Linked DNA regions of Mytilus edulis. The protein of the gene in region 2 binds, or shares a complex with, the protein of the main gene of each other region. Links are inferred from orthologs where the notes say so. Each region holds a gene or a part of one and is shown on either strand. Other genes may lie near its edges. The genes, in order: ropporin-1-like protein, dnaJ homolog subfamily B member 13-like and nucleoside diphosphate kinase homolog 5-like.

Region 1 (7,232 bases), on a different chromosome or scaffold from region 2:
TCATGGTGATCAGTACATCAATACGGCAACAAAAGGGAAGTTACTCTTGCTTTAATGGTGTACATGAAAACCCTCGTCTATAGAGCTTAAATTCTTACTGTACTGGTCTTCTCCTGTGTTCTCTGCATCTGTGCTGTAGACATCTAAAAATAAAATAAGAAGAGTATCTATAAGCATTGTTTTTTAGTTTTTGTGAGGGATTATTTCTGTTTCAAGGGTGTCTTGTGCATCTTCTCTAGCCAATGGTTTCAAGCTGGTCCTCTAATCTTCACCTGTGGCTGGTTAAGATACAATTTGTGTATACAGCTTTGCACTAGCTATCGTGCAACCAATAGAAGTCATGCTTAATCAAGACTACATTATTCTTGACCAAATAATCTTCAGTTTGGATTTGAAAAAAATGTTGTATCAGTGTTACAAAATTTCATTTAAGAATTGAATGCTCTTTTTTGTAAATTTATTGGGGTGTAAAAGCGTTGACCGAAGTTCATTTTGTATGAAGCGCGGAAGCGCTTCATACTAAAAATGTGCCCACGGTTAACGCTTTTACAACCCTATAAAGTTACAAAAAAAAGCATTCAATACTTATAATTACATTTTTACCTATAGGATCGTGAAAACACGCCTTTCATCAAGTTTTTATTTCATTTACCTGTGCACTTTATTGTGGGACCTCGTGTCATCATGAATGAAAAGTTTTATTGTGTGATACAACTGCTTAAGAAATAACATGTGATGTACAGTTAGCCAATCAGAATAACGTATTATAGTGAAACATACATTTAATGTAATTATTAAGCAATAACCAGAAATGTATATGGGGCAATATGCGCAATTGTTTCTACATAGGCGGTAATGGTAACGTTTTCTTCTGTTGCTCAGCCCATATCATAAACTTGTATATGTATGATGGCTAAGTGTTTCGAAGCTGAGACATTTTTACATATGTGGTTAAATTTTCGGGGTACGAAGTGTGATTCATTTTTCCGTAAATTAGCAAACCCCGAGTATCCTTTTGCGATGTGGCTCCTCATGGTAAAAAATCCCATTTTTGACACAATAAGTTCTTTAACAATTTAATACTTTGAACACATTTAATGGCTCCATAGTTTTTACACATTTATTCTGTGTTCCCTTACTTTCTAAATTAACACAAATGGTTCAGCTCAGACATTTGTTTATCATTAGAAATGTGTCAAATATCACTACACAGAGATTTTTTGTTTACACGTGACTTTTGAGTTCCTCATTTCAAGGCGCATTAGGGATATTGTCCCATATGCTAACTTTCCAACATTTTCAATGAGTTGAGATTAGAAATTAGAATTAATATTGTCATTACATAGTCATGATAGTGTCTAGCTAGTGTTTCAGGGGTAAAGACTTGTACATGGCACAATTTGTAAGTGGCAGTTGTTTATATAATATGTCACTATTCACATATGATCAACATAAAGGCGTTTTTTAATTGGATACAGTCATATATATGTGATTGTAACCAAAATAAATTGATTGTTATGATTGTCATGGATCAGAACTTCTTCTTAATATAATTATAAATAATCTGACAAAGGCAAAAGGAGAGGAAGCAGATTGTCAGCCTTGGCTTTCAAAGATGTGTCTATGTATTAAGGTATTTTCTTGACCCAAAAAAAGATTGATAAAGTATCTAAAAGGTTATACTGGTTTTTTTTTTTGTAAAAAGAAAAATATTCTAACTCTTAACTTTGAAATGAAAAATATTGTGATGAGATAGACTTTGCCCTTGGCCAGTTTCAAGTTTGTGCTTGATTGATATGAACATCTTTTCATTTCTATATATAAAGATTGCTAGATATCTAAAATTTTGATTGTTGCTCGCTTTATTTTGTTGTGTTTTATGTGTGCATGCTACAGATCAGAAGGATAAGAACAATGGCTCAAAAAAATTTCAGTGTCTCTTCAAAAAATTAAATATTTCATCCGCTATATTATTTAACCATTTGCTTTCAACAAATGAGGCCTAGCTTAGGTGGGTGGATTTTATGATTTACCAGCTGACTGCATCATATGTACTCTTTCTGATGCTTATTGCTATTTGTTCAACAAAATTGGACATCACAAAGGTTCGCATATATATATTTTTGACTTCACAGTAAAAATCACATGATGCCAATATGGAAAAGCGATTGTTCAGTGTTTTACGGGAAACTGATGTCAAAAGTTCAAGAGTTGCATGCAGATTCTCTAGTCAATAAGCAGAGATTTCCAGAGAGTTATAAGGCCATGGAAAAATGATTGATGGTTTCCCCTAACCCGACCGGGTCATTTATTTTTTTGCAGAGACAACTTAAAGTGTTGAAAATATGCAAAAGCCTGCCTACCGGGTCTTTAAAATTTTCCCATGTTTAAAAGGGGAAACCAACAATTAATTTTCCATGGCCTAAAGGTGTATTGTAGGAGTAGGGATCTCCTGTAGTTCGTGATCGCAATACTGGTATACTAGTATTGTGCACAATACTGGTACATGTATACAAATTTTGTACCAGTATTGTATTCCAGTATTGTACTCTTATTGTAGCACTAGTTTTTGAGTATTTGTACCAGTAGATATATCTGCTACAAATTGTACAAAATGTTGTATTGCCCAAATGGTACTAAACCATTGCTTTTTAAACTACCCTTAACATTCAAGTAGACAAACTTGTTATTTTGATTATAATCAGGTTCCCCTATTAAGCAAATTTTTATGTTTAATGGATATTGATATCTTTTATCTTGTTTATTGTGAAAATAAAGACCAACAAATGCATATGATCATATACAATGTCATGTATTAAAATATCTGTAAAAAATATAAATTCTAATGCAATAACGTTTGTAATGTTCATTTTGATTGGATAACGTCACTTTCTTACATGGCATCAATTGACAATTGATGCTATGGGACGTACGCACAAGCGCAGACGGCATATGACAGATTTTAAATACATGTTTTAACGTTATTTTCTGTCAGTTTCATTAGAATGGAGATAACAATATTGTATTTTAAGCTCCGACGGCATCAATTTGGGATTTGATGGTCGCAAATACCCTTTTACTGTCTCCGCTAACGTGTCACCAGTAAACTTAATTTGCGACCATCAAATCCCCAATTGATGCCGTCGGAGCTTAAAATACAATACAGTTATCTCCTATTAAAATGGCATACATTTCCTTTCTCAATTTTATGTAAATCTGAATTTACAGTGTTATCATGGTTATAGTGTAATAGTTTGTTTGAATTTATTTAACATTAACTCAGATAATAATAAGCTTTTATTTTATTTTATCTAAATTGAATTAAATAAAATATAGAAATGTGATAAAATTATTAGCAATTATTTATATAATTAACAATTGTTTGAAAAATATGAGTTAATTACAGTAATATTTTGTTTATTTAGTTATTATTTTAACTGGCCATGGTTGATAATTGATTTCACAATTATCCTCTATAATCTTTTTGAGTTCATTTAATCTCCCTTTGATCTTGCTTAAAAAAAACCACAGAAGAAGAAGCTTAAAATTCAGTTTTCATTATACACCTTAAAGTATAGTCAACAATACAACTACAATACTGGTATATCAGTAATGTACCAGTATTGCTGGTTTTTTTTTAAAGTTACAATACTGGTACAAAATTTATATACCAGTATTGTGGACAATACTGGTATACCAGTATTGCGATCACCAACTACAGGAGATTCGTAGTATATTTTACTTATGTAATCAGACATCATGACGAAGACTGAAGATGTCTTGAAAGACTTATTTAATTTTCTGGTGATGCCTTCCTGAATTCTATGCCAAATTAAAATAAGTTTTCTTATCTTCTGATGCACTGTTTTGTGTGTGTTTTTTTTTTTTATATAGTTTTCATATAGTATGAGTGTCCCCAGAGCTTATGTTTGTATTTTAAATCAAGGATTTGAACTTGGTTAAATCAAAATGAAGTTTTTCTTATTCTAATATTTTCCATCAAACACGGATTCATGACATGAGTGATGGCTGAAACAGTCACACTCAAAGACACAACCTTGGCCTCATCAAAACTATACCTTTGTATGTCGTTGTCTGTTCTTTAGAAAGAAGTTACTTGCACCTAAAGATAATTTCTGAACTCAATAAATAGCGCAGACGACCAGCATCCACCCTCCTTTTTCAATCGACCGTGTAGCAGACGACAAAAATTCGCGGGTTCGCGTGCTTTTAAATGATTGAAGAAGCAAGGCAAATTGTCAATATCTTAAGCGCATTGGAGACACCGATCCTTCAACCGGAAGAAATCTTTCGAGCAATCGTTGCTATCACAACATTTGAATACATCCGGTAAGTTAGTGTGTGTTTATTTCAAGTTCTTCAGGTCTCAAGATCTCAAAAGGTAAAAAGCCCTATACTTACTTATTGTACAAAAAACATTGAATTTGATTGTTGCCATAACGAAAAGCTTTCATTTAGTTCCGAGACAAAATACGACCATTGTTATCTGCAGTCTTCACTTACTTCAAGCATTTCACTTTTTCAGAGAATTTATTTTATTATTTATAGTTTTGACGATTTGCGTACGTAAATCTCATAAGATTGATTAAAGAAACAACACATTTAGTTTACATGATATGGTAACTGATCAATACACCTTATCGCTATTTGTCTGCCATTACTGGATATCACACAGGTTCCCGTAAATTTTTGACAAAAACTAAATATCTGACGCCACAATGGAAAAGTGATTGTTGTATGCTCCAAAAGTTCAAGCGGCCGGGTCAGCCGTGATTAGCGATATGGTGTATAAATTTTCCATGCAAAACACCATTTTGGGACATAAAAAATATCTAAAAGTGCTCTAAGTTGAGTCTAACGCCACTGGCACTGACACTTTACATGTAAATGTAAATGTAGAATATTACCATATTAACCTTTCAGTACTTATACATCTGCATTGTATGAAAATTCATCAACACATGTCTTTGCTAGTTGATGACTATTCCGAGATAAATCTGACGTCCAACGGCTGTTTTGCCAGACAAGCTGGGGCCGTGTAACGTCAGAGCTCGTCCCATATCAAAAAGTGGATATTTGCCCATCCAAAATATATGCGCTGCTTCGTCGCTTCTGGTGCCAACTAACAGCCTTAGATTTTCATGTGACCATGAGAAAAAAGTGATGATTTATACAAATGACAATAATCTAACTCCTTGTACATTTACGATGCAAGTAATCTAAATGTCTGAGAGCTTCAGATTGTTAACGTGGTTGCACTAAATGCTTCATACCAATCTCCTGTAAAGGAGGTGAAAAATAGTGGTTGGCTACTAAATGTTAAACATCGATCTCCTATAAAGGAGGTGAAAAAGTATAGATATTTGCATATTTGAGTCTTGAGGTCGAGAAATCTCTCGTAACTCGACCTCCTTTTGAAAATAAAAGTTAAAGAAAATCACAGGTTGGGGATTTTTTTCCCCAAATGTTATACATGTAATGTCTTATAATACTTCTCCTATTTGGGATAATTTACCGCAAGTAGGACGTATACATTTATTTATTGCAATGCGCAAATTTCATAAAAGGCAACAATGGAATTTTTTCTTGAAATTTTGGTTAGCAACTTAATTTTTACTGGAACTTTTGTCATGTTCAGTTGTTGCGGACAAATAGCAATAAAGTATATTGATAATTTTAATTTTGATATAATGCTTAGGACATTGTTTTTACATTTTATCTCTATTTGAAAATCTGTGCAGCTTGACTTACAATCACATTTTCAAAACTGGTGAGTCCACAGATGCATCAAGATTGAAATATTTTGTATAAACTGAACACAGTTAAACACAAATATCATCATTTTATAGCAAAAGTTTAAAAGTGATCTGAATTTGATTTCATTTCATTGCTCTGTTAGGAAATGGAGACTCAAATATTACTTTATATTGCAATAAAATATTTTCTTCTTGCTGTTGGACTCATCATACCTAAAAATGATGAGTCCCTGGACTCGCCTTCAAAAATCCTTAGCGAGAACCCTGACTTTTCCATTGTGGCGTCAGATATTTTCTATTATCATATGACATCAAAATTTTACGGGAACTGCTGTGATGTCCAGTAATGCAAATAGCAATAAGGTGTACTGTTTCCTCTTAGATGTATATTGGTTATTTTTATTATTGCCTATTGGGTTGCTGTTGCATTGTATCTCCTTATATCCTGCTGGTTATGAAGTCCTTTTAAATTAGAAAAACAAACTTTTAAAAACAGTTGTTGGCATGACACGGGTTATGTTCTTCTCATATATGTTATGATGGTATGATACTAAACCCCCAACGGGAAGGATTGTGCCTGATGTTCATATGATGAAATCATAATCTTTCAGTCAGTTTAATTGAAGTCTGGAGCTGGCATGTCAGTTAACTGCAAGTAGTCTGTTGTTATTTATGTATTATTGTCATTTTGTTTATTTTCTTTGGTTACATCTTCTGACATCAGACTCGGATTTCTCTTGAACTGAATTTTAATGTGCGTATTGTTATGCGTTTACTTTACTACATTGGTTAGAGGTATAGGGGAGGGTTGAGATCTCACAAACATGTTTAACCCCGCCGCATTTTTGCGCCTGTCCCAAGTCAGGAGCCTCTGGCCTTTGTTAGTCTTGTATTATTTTAATTTTAGTTTCTTGTGTACAATTTGGAAATTAGTATGGCGTTCATTATCACTGGACTAGTATATATTTGTTATGGGGCCAGCTGAAGGACGCCTCCGGTGCGGGAATTTCTCCCTACATTGAAGACCTGTTGGTGACCCTCTGCTGTTGTTTTTTATTTGGTCGGGTTGTTGTCTCTTTGACACATTCCCCATTTCCATTCTCAATTTTATTTTTAAAAAATCCTTTTAATTTTTAGGAGAATCCTAATTCCAAAATGCCTACCAATCCAGATGAGCCATACTACTGCTCTCAGCAGATTAACATTCCTCCTCAGCTACCAGACATACTCAAACAGTTTACAAAAGCTGCAATCAGAACACAGCCAAAAGATGTTTTAGCATGGTCTGCTGCGTAAGTACACTTTTAGTTGTCTAATTAAACTATAAATATTGAGATGATTTCATTAGGAATTTAAAATAAAAAATATCTTCTTTTTAATTTAGGGAAACTGAAATTTTAATTTTGGGTTGTGGGAGAGGGGGTAGTACAATTTGTCTAACTAAAGAAACCTATT
Region 2 (7,280 bases):
TTTGTCAAATCTATTCCCTGTAATAAAATTTTGACAGATGAATTATTTTATTACATTTAAACTTTTCTTGCCCTGATGATGGCAATTATTCAAACAATGTTTGGATAAGAATTTAAAAAGAAGAAAATAAAACTATGCCAGAAACAGCATGATAAGACAGGGTCAACAAGATATACCACCTGCAGCAGTCTGCCAGAAAATGATGAGGCAAAAGCATCCACAAAACTTTGTATGGTAAGGTTCAATTATGGTTGTTAAATAAAATGAAGAAAATATTCCAACCAAATAATATATATTTCCTATAAAAGATTGAAACCAAATATCTTTTAATTCCATTAATTATTAATACATTTATTTTTTTTATAAAATGAATGGTACTTTTGTTCCCGTAACATTCAACCGAATCTTGAGATAATTTGGAATGATTATTATTTTCTTCTATCTGACTATGCTAACCATTTCCTGAGCCACAGCATCTTCATCTAGTACAGCTACAAAGTTAACAGATTCTGGACTGTTATTGTAAAGTAATGCACACTGTGTTCTGTCACATCCATAATAGGTACTACCAAACTGTACACAATCTACTGGTGCCCCAGTATCTACAGATAAAACTTCTAGAGCTCTGTCAACTAATCTTCCCTTTATTGTCAATTGTTTAGGTTCTCTTCCTTCTAGTTTAACTCTGGAAAAATGTATTAAAATATAAAAAAAATGTCAGTTTATTTAGAAAAAAAAGCATTTATAATTGCAAATCACTAATAGACATAAAAAAGAGTTTAATAATTGAGATCTAAAACCATGCTGTAACAGATTATACTCATAGATATTTATAAGAAAATTAGAGGGTCTATCAGATCAATCATTGGCATGTCAATTTTTGTCATATTCTGTCGTAAATCAAAAACATTTCAATATTATAACACTTACTGTTACATTGTACATATGTACACCACTTGTCTGTTTTATCTTTTTTGTTTTGGTGTGGGTTTTTTTTTTGTGATATTTTTTTTTTCTCAATTAGAATATTTTAGATATGGAGCATTTGTATTGAAATGAGGCAGCAACCTAATAATATTATACAAACATCCCTTTTCCCATACAGAAATAATTCCATTTATGACTTAAAAGATACTTACCTCACATGCTCTTCTAAGTTTCCAGGTTCTTTTGTTACATATTCAATCTGCAAAGCAAGAATAAGAAAGGATTCGAAAATATTGCTGACACACAAAACAATATTCAAATCATATCAAAGCATTAATGTATGGTATTTTTTCTATTTATCAAAAATATATTGTAGCTAAGAATTTAAGATATATTTTTATTAAAGTAGCCATTACACAACATTTGAACAATACATTAATGTATGTTACTTCTATTTGGAATTTTGCTGCCCTAGGTAATTATGGTAATTTTTAGAAAGTCACAAAGTACATCATCTGGAAATTTTTTTACTCTTGAAAGATACTTAAACCAGCAAAATTGAAACAAATCGTTGTATTTGACAGGTATGCTCCATATTGCATGGTTTGTAGTACATGTATTTTTATTCTTGATTCACATATTTACCTTTATCAACTGTACACTTTTAGGAGGTACATTGCCACTGGTGGGAACAATGGCTAAAGGTTTGTCTCCAGAATACTTCAGTTTAAATTCTCCAGCCTTAGATCCATGATTTGTTAATGCTATTTCTTTTGATATTGTTTTACTGCTAGCTACAAGACTTCCAAAGTCAACAACTTCTTCAATTTCTAGCATAGGCTGCATAGGATATCTATTATTAAATAAATAATCCAATATAGGTCAGGGCAATTAACAATTTTAAACTTAAATTACTGTGGATAATTCCTTTAAAATCAATTGATAATCTGATTTGATAGGAAAAAATGTGATTATTACTGTTAAGTGTGTTAATACATGTAGTCTCTGAACTTGATGCAAGTTCTTCGGTCTTTGTTTGAAGATTCCCCAGTTATTGTAAAGAGTAAATTAATGCTAATAATCCCCCTCCCCCCCCAAAAAAATAACCATTATATCTTTGGAAATTGTGTCTCTGTATTATGATAGACTGAATATCCTTTTTAGTACAAATTTAAATTATTATTTGTGTACAATGTAAAATAAATCCTAACATTAAAATATGAAACTAAGAACTTACGCTATTAATGGTATTTCAGCCACATCTCCATCAATAGTTACAACCAGTCTATCACGAATCTCTTTTGCTTCACTGGTTTCAAATTCAATAATAGCTGGGACACATAAGCCTGATGCCACTGGCTTTGTAGGGTTTTTTACTTTTAGATTGAAGAACTAAAAAAGTAAATATTTCTTGATAAAAAGAACAATTCAATTAATTTTTAACCTTCTATTTAATAGTTTAATATTAGAGAGTAGCAAAAAAAGTATTATAAGTAACATTATAATAGATGCTTCACGAATTTATCAATTTAAGGATCAAACAATGTAATAATGATTTAAATGAAGTTATGAAAACATCAAATTGATGTTTTCATAAAATGTATGTTTTTACTTATCATAACATAATATGAATAAATAAAGTCAGTCATGTCTGCACTTTCAACAAACAGTACAATAAAATATTATATTGTACCTATAAAATTCACTAAGCTTAAAATATTACTGACACAACTGGTGTTAAGTCACATGTGCCCCTCTTGCTTTATGCAGTTTTATATCTTGAATAATTTTAAATACATGTTTTTTTTCTGCATTTGAGTTTTGGAGGATTGTAAATAGACCTTACCCCTATTTGCATTCTGAAACACCTGACTTACGATTATATGAACTGTTGACATTGTGCAAAAAAAATCCCCCCCCCCCCCCCAAAAAAAATAAGAGAATTATGATTTTGACATCTATAGGAAATGTCTGGAACATGGAAAAATATACCCTTTCACAGTTGAACTAGTATATATTTGTTTAGGGGTCAGCTGAAGGATGCCTCCGGGTGCGGGAATTTCTCGGTGCATTAAAGACCTGTTGGTGACCTTCTGCTGTTGTCTGCTCTATTGTCGGGTTGTCTCTTTGGCACATTCCCCATTTCCATTCTCAATTTTATGTTGAATAGGGGGGATATTTTCATAATGGCCATTATGGAGATGCAATACTATGAAAAAAAATATGGGGAAACATCAAGGAAACAGAACAGTTGATTGAAAACTAGCATAGGATTTCCTCTTTCTCATACTTTCTTTTACAGTTACATCATGTACATGTAACATCTATTTCGAAAAAAATATGCCCCTCATACACAATCGCTATTTGTCCGTCATTACTGGATATCACACAGGTTCCCGTAAAAATTTGACGTCATAAAACAAAATATCTGAAGCCACAATGCAAAAGTGATTGTTGTATGCGTCAAAAGATCAAGCGGCTGGGTCAGCCGGGATTAGTGATAAGGTGTATTCGACATGTTCTTAGAATGCAATATATATGTCAAAACCATGAAGTGGCTTTATCATAAGTAGTCTTCATGGTGTCAAAATTGGATCTTAATTTCAGCTGAAATTTAAGGATAATACCTATTGAGTTTCTAAAAGTAAGAATCAATTTTCAAAATCAGGGAAAGATGATGCTTCATTTTTTTGGGGAATTCAGGATAAATTTTTCTAGAACTTAGAAGCTCTGACTTGCTAAAACTGGCTTGGCAATAACCAATGACGAAGACTTGGTTCAGGGTTTATATATTATAGTTTATAAATTAGCTGTTGAATATACTTATGTAAACAGACGACTTAAATCCTACTCACTTTAGATTTTGGTCCATAAAATCGTATGCTTTTACTTGATTTGCTTATGTTTTTCACAGTGATGTTCAGCTCATGAACTGTGTTGACATCTGTGTCAAAGAATTCCAATTGCGGTGGTGAAATTCGGACACCGAACGTGTCACCTTCCATGATGCTTTCGTTCAAAAATGTCGATTATCTTTTTAAAAACTTCAAACTATTACCGCCATATTGTTTGGGAAGGTTGCTCGGGGATTTTTCAAGCAAACAAAATAAAACCGCATTTTCGTAATTGAGTAAAATCTTTAAATTTGTTTTGTTCTATTAAAATTAAAACAATTATGTTTCTTTATGAAGCTATTATATTTTATCTGATGTATCGAATAATCAATTAAAACAAAATCTGACATTAATTCAGTACGAAAATACCGTCAAATAAACTAGCTATACATCGCATAGCAACCACGCCATCTTTAGTAAACGACCCGATCTTACAGTCGTTTCAAAACAAAAATAAACGATGGGAGTCGATTACTACAATATTTTGCAATTAACAAGAAGTGCAACAGATGCAGACATTAAGAAACAGTAAGGAATTGATGTTTTAAATTACAGGATCAAACATAATGTTCCAAATTCATAAGAACTCACTGATTTGTTATTTCACTTTCAATCAGTTTATGTTTGTTTTTTTTTAATTAGAGAATAGGTATCTACAACTATCCACTGAACATCCATTTTTAGTCTGTTCAGTCTTCCATTTGCCAAGTAAGTCTTATTATAGACATCAGCTGTGCCGGCATGCAATGATTATTTGCCTGGATATGGTACCTTCCATGTCCATGGCCCATTGGAATCAGTCATCTATTCTGGTATCATGCCTTTCACTGAAAAAGATATAAGGCCTGCCCGTATCCCTGGTCTTACAAAAGTTTTCGAGCATTTTCGTCATTCTGTATTGTAGGGTGATATAGAATTAATTTATGTTCTATAAGTTCATAATCTTGATTCCCATACAACTGAGGGATGGAAGTCACATGACAGATTCATCTGAAAAACGTATTCCTGAACTGGTTCAGGCCAGATGAAAAAAGTACAAATGAGTACCCCTTTTCTGGGGGTCTCATTGGGGGGTTCTGATCCCGGATCCCGCTTACTGTTTTGTCAGATTCCCGTATCCCGCTTATACTATGTACCTAAGCAATTCTCATTTTTTTGTAATTGCCCGTGTCCCACTAGACCTTAATTCCCGTTTTCACGGCACAATAATTTGACTTTCCCGTTTCACGCTTACAAAAAATCAGCAATCCCGCGTCATGCTTAGACCCACCTTTCTATATTTATTTTTCTTTATTATTTCCTATTCTAACATGACGTCCTTCAAATGCTTTGAGTACACACCTGTGGTTAAATATGAATTTATTGCCAGGGCTGTTCCGATTGTACTCCCATGTCATATGTTTTTTTATGAATGAGATACCAAACGTCATAGAAAGATGACGTATGAATATGTGCATTTTACGGAAAAATACATGCTTTCCAAAACAAAAATCATCACAACAAGGAAACGTAAACAAACAATGCTAAATGTGGTATAAGCCGATTTTTTTAAAACATCATTATGATAAGTAAATTATAATTTAAATTCACCCAAAGCTATCTAGATACGTTATTGTAAAAACTTTAAGCATGTCACTAATTGAGTTTGCTTCGTTCTTTTACGCCAATTTAATAGTGTGTTTATTTATGGGAAAGGCAAATATTTGTCTCCACCTAGAGCGCTTCGATCCAAAACAATAGCCGTATTTGTCTTATCGCTCAGGGTAAAATATTTGTCATTAAGGGCCAACCCGTGGTAATATCACGAAATATTCCATCCCCCATGAATTATTTCTTAATTATACTATACTTACTGTATATAATTTTGGTTGTATCTTATAAAATTACTCGTGTTGTGTGCACCTGCTCAGATTTAAAGTGTCTTTTTTTGCTTCAAATTTATTTTTGTACAAAAATTGTATCCTTTATATATTTAACTTTACTTATATTTTTATTTTTTACAGCTACAGAAAATTAGCTTTGAAATTTCATCCTGACAGAAATGATGGTGATCAAAATGCTCAAGACAAATTCAAACAATGTGCTGAGGCTTATGACATTTTAAGTGATCGTAAGTAGTAAAGTAAAGAAAAACTTATGTACATGTATTTGCATTTGATAAGGCCTCGACAATAAATCACCACAAAGCGTCAACTTAACAAAACTGCTATAAAGTGAGAGTTTTATTGAAATTTTCAGAAGTATATATATATAAGCTGTGGAACCAATTTCATGTTGTTTTTCGTGATATTTTTTTCATACTGATATAAAGAGTTGAATTGTAAATGTTTCTTTTTTTTTCAATCAACCTTTGACAGAATCCATCCGATAACAAGTTTAAACAAATTTTAGGTTAATGTTTTGCTGATTGGTAATAGTGAAATAGGGGAATTTTTTCTGTAGGGTGGTTGATGTTACCTCCGTGTTAGATAAGTTATCTTCTGACAGATATTTTACATTTTTTTAGTTTTCCTTAAATATTTTTAGAGTTGAAACATAAACCATTTTATCGTAATGTATGATCTTTGAGAGGAAGTGAGTTCTTTGTCCAGAAGACATTATGGAGAGGTGAATTTCAATTATAGTTTCAGTCATCAACACCCTTAAAGATGAACAAGTGTATATATTATAAGTTGACTAAAAGATGATCTTAAGCAGAGTTTTTCTGTGTTATATGATGCATGAAGTTTTTTAATACATGTAGTTTAATACATTAATCTTTCAAAATCCTATTTTTTCAGCAAGAAAGCGGGCAGTGTATGATCAGTTTGGAGAAGAAGGCCTAAAGAATGGTGTTCCTCATGGTAGTGGGGAGGCAGGTGCTTGGACCCAAGGTTACACATTCCATGGAAATTCAGAAAAAGTTTTCAGAGAATTCTTTGGTGGTGATAATCCATTTCAAGGTAGGATATAAAATAAAGGCATACAAAGATATAAAATAAAGGCATACAAAGATATAAAATAAAGGCATACACAGATATAAAATAAAGGCATACAAAGAAGGATAATACGATATCAGAGAAATTACCAAAATCTTTCCTTCTTCAAAGGCCTCTCGATCAGGTCCATTTGATTTGTGTCCAAAACAGAAAATTAAACAAACTTACTTATTGAAAATTGCCAATGTATCATTAACCATCCTGATAGACCATAACATGTCATAACAGACCATTAACCTGGTTAATAATATTAATATTAAATACCGATTTTTTTTATTACTTTTTGCAGAATTTTATGACAGAGTTGATGGAGATTTAAGCATGGGATTTGGTGGTTTACAAGGCAGAGGACATAAGAAACAAGATTCACCAATAGAAAGAGAACTTTTCTTGTCATTGGAAGAAGTATTTCATGGTTGCACCAAAAAGATGAAAATTTCTAGAAGGGTAAATAAAAAAACATGATAAAACTTATCAAATT
Region 3 (7,310 bases), on a different chromosome or scaffold from region 2:
CACAAGCATCAAATCTTTTTATTACCATGGTAAAACATACATATTAGCATGTTTATCAATCCATTGCTGATTAGAAATTTAATGTTATTAATACATCATTGAATAATGGAGACAAATAAGTTCTTACCTACCATTAGACAGTTACATAGACTTTATACTCTGAATTTCAAAAAAATGTATTTGTTAGACACTTTTATAGATGTGAAGCATACCGGTACATCGACACCATTTGTGTATTGTAATGTAAATTTTGTTCTTTATATGAGTAATTTTAAATGATAAGCCAAAACAAAATAACTAAATTTATACATACTTTGCTGTTTCTTGCCACCAGGTGTCCAAGCCTAAAATAAAAACATGCATATGGTAGACTTTCACTTATAAAGATCAGATAAAAGGATTTACTATAGCTAAAAGACAACATTTATGTGTGACAGACTTTGGGTTAAATACAAAATAAATATGCAATGAGATTGAAATTACATTAACATTAACTAACAAATTTCAACAACAAATAATAGAACAAATACCCTTTTCAGCCTAAACTTCATTTCATTAATCAGTAGAAATTGTGAATCACATATGCATTGAACAAATTATTTTGCAAATTTGAAAGATTATTTCTATGTTAAAAAAGTAACATTTAATCATTTATTATCATTATCAATCCACTGTAGACTGTTAGAAATTACTTTATTGGTTGTTGGTTTTTTTGCGTGTTTAACATCACTTTCTGCACTGTTGCACTTTTTGATGACATTCAATTTATAATGTGGAGAAAGTTAGTGAGCCCAGAGAGAACCACCAATTTTCAGTAGGAAAACTGACAATCCTTGTCGATTTTAAGATTAAATCCAAGCACCCTATGCCACATGCTGGATTTAAACTTTATGACACATGGGGGATTTAACCTTAAAACAGGCAAGTACGGCAGCAGTTGTAACTATATAGACACGCCTTGTTGATTTATAAGTCGGTCAGAGCCTCCAAGTTGTTGCTACTCTTGCCTGAGTTGTTTGGTACAAGTCAATCAATCCCCAAACTGATGAGACCCAAACTTGATCTGACTAAAAGTAGATCCGTCCCACTTCAATCTGAACCCATGTCAATCCTTCCCCATAATAAGATAATGAATAATCTATGTTAACTTTATAGAATTTGGTGACATATTGGAATCAGGATAAATGGAATTTGTAAAAAGTTTTAAGTATCAATGACAGCAGGTGAGTGATGTATGCCCAATTTGAATAACTATTTAAAATAGATAAGAAAACAAGTGTAATAGATACTATTTATAATGCAAGGAAAATAAGTGTAATAGATACTGTTTATAATGCAGTATCAGCTTATTAATATGAAGTTATTTTCCATGATAACTTTGAATATCCGCAGGAATTTTATTCTATGAAATCATTATAATGCAGCATTCACACAGTATTGATTATGTCTCCTGTTTGAGATAAGACAACGATCAGACAAGAAAAGATACAAAGTAAGATTACTTTCCTTGATCAATCATTGTCAGAATGCAGTGTACTTTTGTTACTGGTTCCTGCTGATCCAGTAAGGTGACGGTCAGGAGAGATCAGGTATGATCAGGAGTGGTCGGCCAAGCACATTGACAGTTATGTGTGTCACATATGATTCCCGGAGATTCAGCCAATTTTGTCAAGAAGGATTACAATTATGACTATGCCATGACAGATAATCTGCAGTTTCGGATCAAAAAATTGAAAAATCAATGATTTGCATTGCTGCTTTTTCCGTTTGAATTTAGATTGCAACCTCATCTTGCCAAATGTGAACAATCTTTTCTGAAATATTTTTTTATTCGGGCCGGATTAACTTTAAATATGGTGACAGAATGTCGTGGACCGGCAGCCTGGGATGGATCGTCATGATCATGATGAAAGCGAGTTGCTCCATAATTGTAGCAGTGGATTAGATGTTATGGGTACACGACAACTCGTACTTTCGGCAAGTCGTACTCAACCAACTCGTACCCTATTTTTGCCAACTCGTAACCATGTTTTATTTGATATTATTTATCAAGTTTATATGCATAGTTATTGTAACTTTCTTTCGTATATCATTATATAGCAAAATACAAATAAAAAAACAACTTTCATTGTTAATAAAATTCAATCATAATTGTTTTAAATAAGCTTATAAAATGCTAATCGTTATAATCATTAGTATTCCTTATAATTGATTGTTTGAAATTGTTTGCACGACAATTTATTTGATATGCACATTAAAATAATTATGAGTACACAATATGCTAATCAGTGGTCATTAGTGGATAACATACCTACAAAAATAGAATGGATTTGTTAAAAGTAGAATAAACAGAGAGAAGTAAATGAAAACAAAAAATCGGTATAAGTGCGGCACTATGATCATCAAAGGCCGTTGAGTTATACTTAAACAATCACCATCCTCACCGAAAAGAAAATGCATGGCTTAAACGTTGTAAAAACCAAGCTTAGAGAAAAAATATATAAACTATGGTGAAATGTATGATCATCTTCAATTGCAATCATGGTTCGTCCACATTGTAATGTATGCAAGACGATATATAAATTGTGTATCTCAATAATATTTTCCCCTAATCCTGTTATTTGGTCCATGTTTGGGGCCAATAAGAGTATATATTTCAAAAAGCTGTATTTGTAGGACCCTTATTACTATTATTAATAGCAACAAAGCCTTGTAAAAATGTCTTACAATGTGTGTGTAAATAATAGTGATACTAGTGGGTTTTTTTAATACGCCTCTCGTAATTCTTCTAAATATTGGCTTAATTTTTATTTTAACTTTTATCATAATTGAGGTCAATACGTATATAAATGATAGTAGTATTGTGATGAAATATACATTTTAAAATATAGTGCAAACGTACATGCAGAAAGATTAGATCAGGTGTGAAGTTGTTTTGATAACGGTTAAATAATTAATGGCACGTTTCGTGTGTGAATAAGGGCCGATTAACTGGTAATCGACATACTTCAGGTGTGAAGCAATGATCAATCAATTAATCACCGGCACGCGAACTGCAATAAATAATTTGTGTATTAAGGTTTATGTTTAAAGGCTGTGGATTTTCTATAAAAATCTTGATTTATTTGCCACAAAGTCCTTTTTTTTTTTGAAGATCTCGTCTGATTGCTTATGAGACAACTCTTCACTAGAGACCAAAATGACACAGAAATGAACAACTATAGGTAATCGTACAGCCTTCAGCCATGAGCAAAACCCACCCATACCTCATAGTCAGCTATAATGACCAGTAAAACAATTCAAACGGAAAACGAACTGACTGCCATGCTTATTTAAAAAAAAAAAAAAAAAAAAAGTGTTAACACATCAACAAACAACGTGTTTATCGCAATATTCAGTAAAAATCTCTTCAAATATTCTAAGGATCGAGCACACCTTGACACTTGAGGATTTTTTTTCAGATACAAATCCTATCAGTAGATAAATCAGTAGGTGAATAATAAAATATGAAGCATTATAATGTTAAAAATATTTTCTACTAACACGAAAAAACTAAGACATGTTCAACGCAATGTTCAGTAAAAAATATCCTTTTCATATTCTATGGATCTACCTCAGGGTGCACTGGGATACTTCAGGGAGTTAAAATATCCATATCTACTGATATAAACGTAGAAAACTTATATTATAATGCTAAAAAAATATTGGGTACGACTTAGAAGAAGTACGAGTTGGTAGAAGTACGAGTTGCCGAAAGTACGAGTTGGCTGAGTACGAGTTGCCGAAAGTACGAGTTGACATGTATCCGATGTTATCATGTATTAAACTCTGATACCAACTATTTAGCATTAGCAACACAAAATGCATATCACAATCGGGAATACATGAGCAATAAATGAGAAATTCTTATTATACTGTTTGGACATGTCATGTGTGTGCATGCAACACTTTTTGTTCTTTTGCTTTGAAGTTGAAATTTCTGAGTTTTAATGCAAAATTTACATTAGCCATGATGTATTTCAATATTCCAATCAACAGAAATGTATCTATAGATGTGCAGCTTTAAACATTTCGTTTATATCTTTCAAACAAAATCATTTTCTTGTAGACATTATCTGCTTCCTTTAGTTTACGTTTATTGTAACATTGGGGAATACGGCTGTTGGTTATTTTAAACGAGGAACCAGTCAGTTCTTTGAAATCTCGTACGGTGCACCGTACGTGAAAATGCGAGATCATAATATATTTCTTAGCAACAGGACGCCATAATATTTTACAAGGGACAAAATGACAGGAGAGAACGAAACAGTTACAATGGATCCACCACATGTTTATGTGGAACGGACATTAGCAATTATCAAACCAGATGCAGTTAATAAAGCAGAAGAAATTGAAGATATTATTTTGAGATCTGGATTTTCGATTTTACAGGTAATTTAAGAAATAAGAAAACATGCTTTCCTATTCCTCATCAATCATCTTGTATACAGCAAAAGCACATCGAATTTTGATTACCAAGTCATTACTTAGTCTCATGTTTCTGTATATGAGGAAGGCGCCATCTTAAATGCAAGCTTACCAAGTCGTTATGTACCTACGGCCTATACATATTTTTTGCCGTAAGTAGAAAGTTTACATAGGATTAAACGCTTTTTCAAAGGAATTTATTGGTATATAAACTCTACCAGTGACTTGGTCCAGTTTATACACCAATAAATTCCTTTAAAAAGGCGTTTAATCCTTATAATTCTTTAAAATTGGAGCTAAGGAATATATTTTTCAACACTCGTAACCTCTATCACACGTAAATTGTATATTTTTTGTCATTGAATAGGCATGGCGCATGAATATATTTGTTGGTTAATGCAAAAATATGTACTCATTTAAATTTGCTATCTGATAAAAAATAAACCACAAAGACTCGAGTTATCATTCAAACAAATGTTTTTGTGTTTATTATTTATTTTAATGAGTACGTGCAGTGAAAATAAATTTTGTTCAAGTCGATGTTATTATTGCCGCCATCTTGTTTACATTGGTTACAAAAAGAAGTTCGGCCAACGTTGCCTATCGAAAAATAAACAACATCAAGATCAACTACCGGAAGTCATCTCCACCAATCATATCAACGTATTCACTAATATGCAAATCATATAATGTAAGAATTATGATGAAATATTTGGAGTCTGTATCCACCTTATTGATATTAAAAGTTCTGTCCCGCTTGTCCCTTGAATCTGCTTCTCTTGAACTTTTGACGTCATACAACAATTACTTTCCATTGTGGCGTCAGAAATTTTCTATTATGACATAAAAAAAATTACAAGAACTTTTATGGCATACAGTAATGGTAGACAAATAGCGATAAGGTGTATTTTTATCTGCTGAAAATAATTTTATTAACGATTAATGAGTCCAAATCATCATGATGTCTTGAAAGGCTATTAAACCTTTTGCTTTGACACACTAGCTATAGAGACTGTAAGGTGTCAAAGCAAAAAAATATAGCCTCTCAAGACATCATAATTATTGTGACAATTGATTCATCTTATTTACAATGCTTACATTCATTATCTTGTGCCATTTTCATATCCATTTTTGCTTCTTTTCAAATATTACAAAATTTAAAACAATAAGACGTTTGTTTAATTTCAAAACAACAATGTACAAATACATGTACAATTCATAACTTTATCAAATTGTTGATTTCCATGAAGAGGTGGAGGATTTTTTTCATCAATAATAGGACAATATTTAAATTTGTATTGAAACCAATGCTTTCTGTTTGTTAAATAATTATTTTATGTTAATGTCTAATTTAGCTGGGTGTTCATATTGTATTCCCATTTTCCTTTAAGGGTTCTTACTAAGGATTTTATTACAGGAGTCCACTGGGAAATCATAATGTTTTGCAATGGCTTGTCAAGCAGTGGGAGGAAGCAATTTTATTGATAAACAATATAATTTCAGTCCCCATGACAAAATGGAGCAAGGAAATTACACAAAATATAAATTATTTTTGAACTTATGTTTTAAAATGATGATACATTTGCTCATTTATAATTTTGTTTCAAATTATAATCCTGAACATGTTACATTGATTATATAATAATATATGTGCTAATTTAATTGCAGAAGAGAAGGGTCCATTTAACACCTGAACAAGCTAGTGATTTTTATGCTGAACATTTTGGAAAATTTGCATTTACAAGTCTGGTAGCTTACATGAGCAGTGGTCCAATGATAGCACTAGTTCTAGCGCGTGATCAGGCTATATCATATTGGAAAGAATTAATAGGACCGACAAATTCTGTAAAAGCAAAACAGACACACCCTGACTGGTATGCATATTAAAATGTTTAAAGAAAATCACAATTGTCATTCTCATATGAAGTTGACATAGTCGAGCTATCTCTCTTTTATTTGTAGTTTGGTCATGGAAACTGTTTTTTATGTGTGAAATGAAATTCAATGGTTTAAAAATAGCAACAAAAGAATATTCTACAAATGTAGTACATATATTGAAGTCATGAAGTGATACATGTTTAACAAATCATATTATGTTAATAAATACTATATCAAATATTGAAAGTTATGTAAGAAATCTGATCTGTTAAAAGGCTTTTAGTCCAATATAAAACCAAATGCTAATACTTGATTTACACCACCTTTGAATTTTAGTTTGAGAGCTATATATGGAGCAGATGATCAGAAAAATGCATTACATGGCAGTGACACTTTTTCAGCGGCAGAGAGGGAAATAAGATTCTTTTTTGCAGACAGTAAGTTGCATGAATACTGTATATCACTTTTTTTAGACACAAGATTATCAACTTCTCTATTTAAGTACAAAATGTAGTCAACATATAGACTAGGGGAAATTATATTTCTGGCCTCAGTTTGATAGTTATAATCATTTACCTACCTTCAATATATGTACAAATGTGCTATATTTACTTAATTTAGAGGGCAACATGACATCTAAAAACCATTTGCTTTGTCCTGAAATAATCAGTTCCCTGAATGTTATTCAAGTCATTTCCAATTAAGTTAATGTTTCAGGTTAAAAAACATGTACATGTTGTACAGGACTGAGGAATGATGATGTCTTTCATAAGATGTAATTAAAATAACATGCAAACTATCTTTCCCATTTTACCATATACACAAAGCCTTTGACAAACTAAGATATATTTTAAATAAGAATACCTTATACATGTATACCTTTATTGTGATATTTTATAGCTAAAATCAGTTAACATGTACATGATAACATCATTGCAAACAAGATTGATATGTTAAAAAAATTT

What was found.
Region 1: dnaJ homolog subfamily B member 13-like (region 2) and ropporin-1-like protein share a complex: the UniProt entries of both Homo sapiens proteins name them as parts of the axonemal radial spoke complex. The link is inferred for Mytilus edulis from reciprocal best matches to the Homo sapiens genes DNAJB13 and ROPN1L.
Region 3: the proteins of dnaJ homolog subfamily B member 13-like (region 2) and nucleoside diphosphate kinase homolog 5-like are in contact, whole or in part, in a cryo-EM structure (PDB 8WZB), measured with the Mus musculus proteins. The link is inferred for Mytilus edulis from reciprocal best matches to the Homo sapiens genes DNAJB13 and NME5. Residues at the interface, in NP_705755.2 of Mus musculus: Thr156, Lys157, Lys158, Thr181, Ile182, Asp183, Arg185, Trp188, Arg189, Gly191, Thr192, Arg193, Ile194, Thr195, Phe196, Glu197, Pro281; in NP_542368.2 of Mus musculus: Glu52, His53, Asn56, Met193, Lys199, Pro200, Lys201, Leu202, Cys203, His204, Phe205.

What each region holds. Positions count from the first base shown.
Region 1 is NC_092350.1:52,033,164-52,040,395, reverse strand, and holds the start of ropporin-1-like protein, read left to right. Parts: upstream 1-4,223; 5' UTR 4,224-4,350; exon of another isoform or gene 4,351-4,402; intron 4,403-6,914; 5' UTR 6,915-6,932; coding exon 6,933-7,069; intron 7,070-7,232. Other genes in the region: HORMA domain-containing protein 1-like, read right to left, coding at 99-143. UniProt on the Homo sapiens protein: Functions as part of axonemal radial spoke complexes that play an important part in the motility of sperm and cilia. Important for male fertility.
Region 2 is NC_092353.1:43,375,797-43,383,076, forward strand, and holds the start of dnaJ homolog subfamily B member 13-like, read left to right. Parts: upstream 1-4,196; 5' UTR 4,197-4,281; coding exon 4,282-4,349; intron 4,350-5,824; coding exon 5,825-5,931; intron 5,932-6,601; coding exon 6,602-6,763; intron 6,764-7,088; coding exon 7,089-7,246; intron 7,247-7,280. Other genes in the region: cilia- and flagella-associated protein 47-like, read right to left, coding at 1-17, 457-685, 1,140-1,186, 1,573-1,780, 2,165-2,319, 3,783-3,932. UniProt on the Homo sapiens protein: Functions as part of axonemal radial spoke complexes that play an important part in the motility of sperm and cilia.
Region 3 is NC_092352.1:35,868,741-35,876,050, forward strand, and holds the start of nucleoside diphosphate kinase homolog 5-like, read left to right. Parts: upstream 1-4,231; 5' UTR 4,232-4,287; coding exon 4,288-4,431; intron 4,432-6,135; coding exon 6,136-6,341; intron 6,342-6,681; coding exon 6,682-6,782; intron 6,783-7,310. Other genes in the region: fas-binding factor 1 homolog, read right to left, coding at 314-344, 4,003-4,011. UniProt on the Homo sapiens protein: Functions as part of axonemal radial spoke complexes that play an important part in the motility of sperm and cilia. Does not seem to have nucleoside diphosphate kinase (NDPK) activity.